Coturnix japonica: one gene and its partner. The protein of the gene in region 1 binds, or shares a complex with, the protein of each later gene. Links are inferred from orthologs where the notes say so. Each region holds a gene or a part of one and is shown in the gene's direction. Other genes may lie near its edges.

Region 1 (3,811 bases):
CTCTATGGTCAGGGGCGCGGCGGGGGCGGGGCGCGGGGGGGCGGTTGGAGCGAGTCCCCTTTGTGTCTGGAGCCAGGCGCGGCCGCTGGTGGTGGTGGCGGCGGGCGGGAGGGGGCGCGAGTGGCGGCGGATCGTGGGACTGTGCGGCCCTCGGAGGGCACGGGGAGGAGGAGCCGCGGGACCGCCCACTGCCGGCGCAGCCCGGAGACGGGGAAGGCGCTGGCGGCGCGGAGGGACCGAGCCGATCCCCGCCCCGCGGGCACAGCTGCGCCCGGCCCCGCTCGGAGCTCAGAGAGGTTGGCCGGGCTGGCGCCGGAGCGGCTCGCGGAGCGCTGAGGAGGACGAAGAGGAGAAGGAAGCGGCGTTCTACAGCGCGGGGCGAGAAGCTCCGCGGAACGCGGCCGGGCGCCGGGGCCGCCGAGGAGGGGCCTCGCTCCCGCCGCCCCGCGCCCCACCTCCGTCGGGGCGGCCGGGGGTGGCGTCGCCGCGAGGGCCGGGCCGCGGAGCCGGCTGGCGGCGTGCGGATGGGCCGGGGGGCGGCCGTAGCCCCCACGCAGACGGCGCGACAGGGCTCGCCTCGCCGCGGAGCGTCCGCGGGCGCGTGAAGGCGGCGGGGCCGGCTCTGCCCCCAGCCCGGCCCTCGGAGCCGGGCGGCGCGAGGGGCCGCCGTGAGTGACAGCCGCCGCCTCCCGTCTGGATATGTTTCCTTCCCAACCCGGCTGCTTCTTCGATATCGTGAAGCTGCGTGGGAAATAAGCGCGTTCCCGAGGCGGGCCGCGGTCCCGACGCCTTTCCCGGAGCGGGGCGGCAGCGGCCGGCGTCCTCCCCGGAGCCGCGGAGCCATGCGGGCGGGCCGCCGCGACGGACTATCAGCACAGCCGGCGCCCCTCACCTGCCGTCCGCCTTCGCAGACCGCGGCGTGAGCCCGGAGCGCGCCGCGGCCGCCGGAGAAGCGAGGAAATCCCTCTCGTCGGTGTCTTTATTTCCCACCCGGCCTCGACCCCCGCACCCCAGGATGACGGCCTCGCTGCGGCACCTCGTGCTGCTGCTCCTGCTCGCCGCCGCCCCTCGTTCCGGCGCTGCGGCCGGTAAGTCCAAGTACCGGGCACGGCGGGGCGCGGTCCGGCCGCGGCTCCGTGCGGGTTGAGGGCCGAGCGTCGGGGCGGCCGGCGGCGTGAATGAATGTGCTTTATTGTGTAAATGAGCCATCCGCAGTCACGGTGCGTGTGTCGTGCGGCTCCGCTTCTCTCGGCTTCTCGCTTGGGTATTTTTCCCAAATTGAAATAATCTTTTCGTTTTGCATGCCGCGCCCTCGGGAAGGTAATGCGGGCGTTTTTAATATATATTTTAATCGCCGGCAGAGCTGTGCCGGTTGTAGTGTGGGATCTCTGGGCACAGCCATTTTTAATTTTATCGGCATCCGCGCTCTTAGGGCCTGAAGCGTGTGCTGCAGCCCTGTGACAGACCCATCGGAAGGTACGTTTGTTTCCCAGGGCTGATCTGAAGCAAACGGGCTGCTCCTATTGTCGCTCGGTGTTGTAGGCCAGCAGCACAAAGCGCTGATGAGGAACGCTGGAAGGTCTTGAAGAGAACTCGTTTTAAACAAGGACGTGGAAGCTTAGATCCTAAGGCTGTCTTTAGCCATATTTTGGGGCTCTTGGACCTACTTTTAACTTTGCTTGGAAGCTTCACGTTTGATACCTGAGATGTTTGATCCCGATTTTGGAGGAGAGGTGCATTGGTCTCCCACTTTTGGCTCTGTCCTGGTGACAGCTGAGCACGTTGGAGCTCCTCAATGCGACTGCCATCAGTAGGCACCAATATCAGTGCCCACCAAACCATCACTGTATTTCCCAACAGTTCTGAGAGACCCCTACAACTTTCCTGTCATTTACTAATCAGAATCCAATTTTGCAGGGCTGGGTTCTTGTGGTGTTGTTTCAGTGGCTGTGTGTTGTTCACAAATGAATCCTTCCTTGTAAGAAAATCATGGTGTGTAGCCAGTTGGTTCATTGCTCTAACTGGACAGCCCCAGATTTCTTTGCTTCCTCTTCTTTAGAAATCTCTTTCAGGAGGATATTGGCATGAAACAACTGATCTTACCAGTATCATCCCTACCTGTGGCTGTTCTGTTTTAGATTGATCTCTGTCGTGTCTGTGTTGGTTACCTGGGAGTGATTTTTCTTCAGGAAGAAGGGACTTCTGAAGGTCAAAACTCTTGGTATTTAAAGCATGCAGGAATCAAGAGTGCCCACTACCTAACCTTTCCAATGTAACACTAATGATTAAAAGGAGGACAGGATTTTTTCCTCCTTGAGATGAACGCTTGGGCAGGTTGCTCGTTGCTTTGCCATGGTGAGGAAGAAGGGCGGTGAAAGAGCGAGCACAGCTGTGAGGCAGGCCCAGGGCTGGGCAGGTTGCTGTGTGAGCCCGTCCGCACGGTTCTGCCAGTTCACCTCCGTCCTGACCTGGCAACAGTGTTTTTACATTTCAGTTCTGGTCTTGCCTCGTTACAAGAGTATTAATGATGCAGGCTCGTTTGGCTGTTTGTGAATAGGGACCCATTTTCCCATTGTGATTTATTCCTTAATTATGAAATTTGAACAATCCACATTATACAAACTTTGGTCTTAACCCTCTGTAAGAGTAATTACACAAATGATTTGAGCTTTACTTAAAGTAACTAATGGTTGATTTTAGGTTGGCACTGCATTTCAGAGGGAAAAAAAAAAACAGTCTATACAGGGGAAGCTACACTAATGTGTAATTCTGCCCTTTTATGTTCATGAAAGAGCCAACATTATTTCTTCTCTTCCCCTCCCCCCAAAGTATGAACTGCATGCTCACATCAGTGATAGTACTGGTTCTGGCCTGGAAACCCTTTGTTAATTGGTGCTTCCGACTGTCCATGGGTGCTGTGTCTCTGCAGTACTTGGAACTGAGTGTTTATAAATGCAAAATCATGACATCAGAAGGAAAGTATTTTTGTGATAGGTTTGTAGCTTTCTGCCTTGAGAATATGGAGATCTCTGTTGGGGGAGCTCAGTAAAGACCTGAGCTTAGTGTGGTAGTCCTTCCTTCACTCTGCTAGATGAGTATATAATGAAGAATTAGATTCAGGTGGGGTTCTTTGCCTCTTTTTCCCCATTGGACTTTATTAGGATAAAAACGCTGCTGGCTTTCTCTGTAAAATCCACATCCTAACAAGTACTTGGTAGCTTTGTATTTAGGTGTTGTATTTTTCACTGCTGCCATTCTCTTAGACAGGGGAGTGCATTTTACCTCCACCAGTTTTAGGTAAAGGATTGAGGCATTTTAAAGGATGTGGAGGAAAAAAAAAAAAAGATTTGTGCCACTTTGTTCTTCATTGATCAAGTTACTTGAAATGTCTCTTTCTAAATCTTGTTTAGAGCTGAGACATATTTATGCACCCTTATATTAAGGAGGATCTGGATGCACTAATTGTGCCTGAGAGGTGGCTGGTGAACCTTTGAACTGTTCCACAATAGTGCTGAAGAATTTCATTTGGGTGTTCGTATGAAGTAGATATTAATCTTGCCTTATGTGGTTCATTTGCTTGCCTTATGTGATACACAATACTAAACCACGATTCCTTCTTTCTACATATCCACAGCAGACAACATTCCTTTGTCTAATGTGTAAATGACTTGTGGAAAACATGAAGTAAGAATTAAAACGAGCAGAATGTCTTTTTATCTTTGTGGGTCTTGCGCTTCTGTATGTGTGGATCAACAGGGCTGCAAGATTTTCAGAGTGAAAAGAACTGCATAGGGATTGAAGGAGTGTTTTT
Region 2 (3,903 bases), about 11 Mb from region 1:
GAAGACAGCAAAGGGGAGAACTGGAGCAGTGTGGTGCATTGGAGCGCACTGCTTTGCACAGGATGAGACAGGGCATGCATCCCCATGTCATTACACCAGCAGCTTTAATGAGCATCAGACTTCAGCCAGGAGATTTGGACATCTCTGCAGGAAGCGCCCTCAGTGCTGCACCTCAAACAGCAGCATCCTGGCTGAGTGGTGCTGCCCACCCAGCACACATCCTGGCCCTTCCTTTCCTTGTTTCCCCTCCATTTAATGTATGGAGATGCATGACCCTGAGTCAGATGGTGAGCAGCCGGTTAGAGAGGTGTGTGTGAACACAGAGCCTCACGCAGATGAGCTCAGAGCAAACAGAGGATGGGGGGGAGGCGGGGGGTGCAAAGCTACCACCTCCATGCTGCTCCTTCAGCTGCGGCGTGCCAGCAACAGGTCTGTGCCCAGGGGAGAGAACTGAGAGCTGAGGAGGGCTGAAAAAGAACAGAGCGCTACGGCTCCATCACTGAGCTGTGATCTCCGAGTGAAGCACAGAACCAACCCTGATGCCTTCATTGCTCTGGGAGGGAGCCTCAGAGCAAGCCCTGGATGCACTGTCAATAAGGAAAGGTTAATCAGTGCATTCGTTTGTTGGCAGCTGCTGGAGAAGATGCATCTTCCCAAAGTCTCAATAAGCAAAATGCCCATAGTTTGTTGAAAGAGGAGGAAAAAAGGCAAAGCAGCAGGCAGCAGGGATGGACCAAAATGGCCATGTTTACCCTCAGCTTTGGTGTGACAGTGACCTCTATGCACCACTCACTGCTGCTCTGCTGTTGTTTTCTTGTTAGCTCTTTGCTGTCAAATTAATTACTGTGAAGCACTAAGCCTGCCGCCTTCACGTGCTCTTATTAGCTTACAGGATGTCCGAGTGATTGGATTTTTAGCATTATTTCTTTTTTTACATTCCGGGCTTTCCATTCACAACCTGTTAGCAGGAGGCACGAAACGCAGCCGCTAATTCTGAGCCCCTTACCGCGGTGTAAGGTGCGTTACACTGCCCTGACATTAATCGCTGTGATCAGAGCGGGACCGCGACGCGATGGTGCACTTGTGTCTATACAGAGACAGAGAAAAGCTCGGCGGTGGTACGGGGATAGCACGTCTGTCTTTAGCTGATCCCTCACTGACCCTCTTTATGCCCCGGGTGGCTTCTATTAGTGACAGCTGACAGCAGCCCGCGCAGCGCACACACACACACACACACACACGGCCCAAGTTTTATTTTCCTTCTAAAAACAGCGGCGTCTCCTTGAAAACGCGCTGCTGCCCTCTGTAATGCTGGGCTCCACGGCGGGGACGATGGCTCCGCACTGCCCCCCATCACCCCAGCTCCCCGCTGCCCCCCTCCCCGCCGCTTCCCAGCGCGGCCCCGCGGGGGCGCCGTCGGCCCGGCCATGCCCGCGGCGGTGCGGGACCGCGCGGCCCCGGGGTGCGCCCGCAGCTCGGCGGGGCGGAGGCTGCGTGCACCTGGCCGGCTCACCCCGGCCGCTGGGGGCCCGCCCGCCCTCGGGCTTGGCTGCGAGGCTGCCGGATGGGAAGCGGAGCCTTTACCTCGCCCTCGAGGCTTACCCGCAAAGGGAAACCCGGTCGCAGAGATCGGGGTCCCGTTATGTCCCCTTCCCCTCCCCGCACCGCGCTGCCCCGCGGCGAAGCGAGCCCCCGCCCCGCCGAGCCAAACGCACGCTCACACCCGCCCCGTCGCAAAAGCAACCCGACGGTAAACTTTCTAATGCCTTCTCCTTTCAAGTGCTTAAAAGGCAAAGGAACAACCCGGGGAAGGGGGGTGGGGGAGCACCCAGCTCCCGGCCGGGGTCGACCCGTGCGGCGCGATGCGGTGCGGTGGGTGTGTGCGGGAACCGGGAGGGACGGGGGGAGTTAAAGGAACAGCGCAGTTAATAGCTCCGCATAAGGAAGTTACTGTAATAGCCCGGGGGGGCAAAAGACTTAACTTAATCTCCCAAATAGTGAGGAACCCACGGCGGCTCTGTTATAGGTTGGAGTTCCCACGTGGTTTTAACTCCTGTATAAAAGTTTCAGTAGAAAGTGCCACAATGTCGTGATTTTGCAGGGTGGGGGGGAAATGAGCAGGAGGAGACGCGCGGCCGATGAGCGAGGAGCGAGCCGCTTCCCCGAGCCCTTCCACTGCGGAGCCGCGAGGGAACATCAGACGCGTTAAAAAAAAGCCCCAACCAAACCAAAACAAAACGCGGCGTTGGAGCCGGCGCACGGTGAGCGGAGATCAAACAGACGCGGAGAGAGAGAGAGAGAAGGAGGGAGAGAGGGAGAGACAGATTAACTGGAGCAGCGGCGGCGGCAACAACAACAACAACAACAAAAAATCATACTTATAATAATAATAATAATAATAATAAAAACCCAAACCACCAACAAAGGAGATATTGTTTAAAAAGAGCGAGCGAGGCAGCGAGCCGCAGCGCCGGGCTGACCGAGTGGATCCGCGCAGCACTCCCGGGACCGCCGGCACCGCGCTGAGTCCCCGCGCAGCGCTGCGGAACCGAGCGGGGATCGCCGCCGCCGCCGCCGCATCCTCCGGAGCCTCCGAGCGGATCTCCCGATCCCGCCGTCGCGGGGAGACGCCTCGGCACCGTGGAGCCGTCGGCCGCTCACCCGCCGCCCGCGGCCCCCGCCCCGGCGGTGCTCCGCGTCAACTTTGGCGGCGCGTCGGGAAGCGGCGGGCGCTGAAGGAAGGAGCGAGCGGAGCGAGCGGAGCGGCACAGAGACCCGCACCCACGGCCTGTGGATTGTTGTCTTGCGGGGGCGGAGTGGGCGGGGGGGTACAAGTGGCATCTCTCCCCCCCACCCCCCCTCCTCCTTCCAGGCTATAAATTGGATTGTATATAAATCTGCTTCGGTTATCTCCCTGACCCCCCTCAATGACGCCGGACTAAAGAGCTCTCTCCGCGGCCCGCCCGGACCCTGCCGAAGCGAGCGATGGACCACGAGCGGCGGCGCCCGGGGATGCCCCTCTGAAGCGCCGCGGGGCCCCGGGGCAGCGCGGCGCCGCCTCCCCCAGCTCCCCGGCTCCCCTCGCACCTCCGGCCCCGCTCCCCCTCCCTCCTTCCCCGGGCTGCGCGGCCACCCCCTCACCTGCTGCCGTCCCCCTCCCCCGCGGAGCCGGGCGCTCGGTGCGCTCAGCCCCGCCGCCCCCCCCTCCCCCCCTTTTCTCTCCCTCCCTCCCCAACTTCGGTTGCCTGCGCGGGCGGCCTCCCCCCCTCCGCCTCCCCGGCGGCACACGCCGCTTCCCCGGGCCCCCCTCCCTCCCTCCCCGCGCGGAGCGGTTGCGGCCCCCGGCTTGGCTGCCGCCGCCCCCTCCGCGCCGCGGAGCGCTCGGAGCGGCGCTGCCTGCAGACGGGCTCCCTGCGGCGCTCCGGGCCGGCCCCAGCTCGGCCCCCCGCTCCTCCGCCATGGACGGGGCGGCTCGCCGGGGGGTGCTGGCCGCGCTGCTGGCCTGCGGGCTGCTGCTGCTGGGAGCCGCCGCCACCCCGACCCCGCCGGCTCCCGCCGGGGGCTCCCCGCAGGACACATGCACCTCCTGCGGCTTCCGGCGGCCCGAGGAGCCGGGCAAGGTGGACGGGGATTTCCTGGAGGCGGTGAAGAGGCACATCCTGAGCCGGCTGCAGATGCGGGACCGGCCGAACATCACGCACGCCGTGCCCAAGGCGGCCATGGTCACGGCGCTGCGCAAGCTGCACGCCGGCAAGGTGCGGGAGGACGGCCGCGTCGAGATCCCCAGCCTGGACGGGCAGGCGAGCGCCGGGCCTCCGGCCCACGACCCCGTCTCCGAGATCATCAGCTTCGCCGAGACAGGTGGGCGCCGCCCGGCCCCGAGCCGCTGCCCTCTGCCCTGCC

The links.
Region 2: the proteins of BMPR2 (region 1) and INHBB are in contact, whole or in part, in a crystal structure (PDB 7U5O), measured with the Homo sapiens proteins. The link is inferred for Coturnix japonica from reciprocal best matches to the Homo sapiens genes BMPR2 and INHBB. Residues at the interface, in NP_001195.2 of Homo sapiens: Tyr40, Tyr67, Leu69, Val80, Lys81, Trp85, Ser86, His87, Ile88, Gly89, Asp90, Gln92, Ile108, Gln109, Tyr113, Phe115; in NP_002184.2 of Homo sapiens: Phe309, Asn318, Asp319, Ile322, Ala323, Pro324, Gly326, Tyr327, Tyr328, Thr379, Met380, Ser381, Met382, Leu383, Phe385, Asp386, Asn390, Ile391, Val392, Lys393, Asp395, Ile400.

What each region holds. Positions count from the first base shown.
Region 1 is NC_029522.1:10,293,175-10,296,985, forward strand, and holds the start of BMPR2 (bone morphogenetic protein receptor type-2), read left to right. Parts: upstream 1-757; 5' UTR 758-1,015; coding exon 1,016-1,088; intron 1,089-3,811. UniProt on the Homo sapiens protein: On ligand binding, forms a receptor complex consisting of two type II and two type I transmembrane serine/threonine kinases.
Region 2 is NC_029522.1:21,362,736-21,366,638, reverse strand, and holds the start of INHBB (inhibin beta B chain), read left to right. Parts: upstream 1-1,524; 5' UTR 1,525-1,750; intron 1,751-1,866; exon of another isoform or gene 1,867-2,101; 5' UTR 2,102-3,458; coding exon 3,459-3,861; intron 3,862-3,903. UniProt on the Homo sapiens protein: Inhibins and activins inhibit and activate, respectively, the secretion of follitropin by the pituitary gland.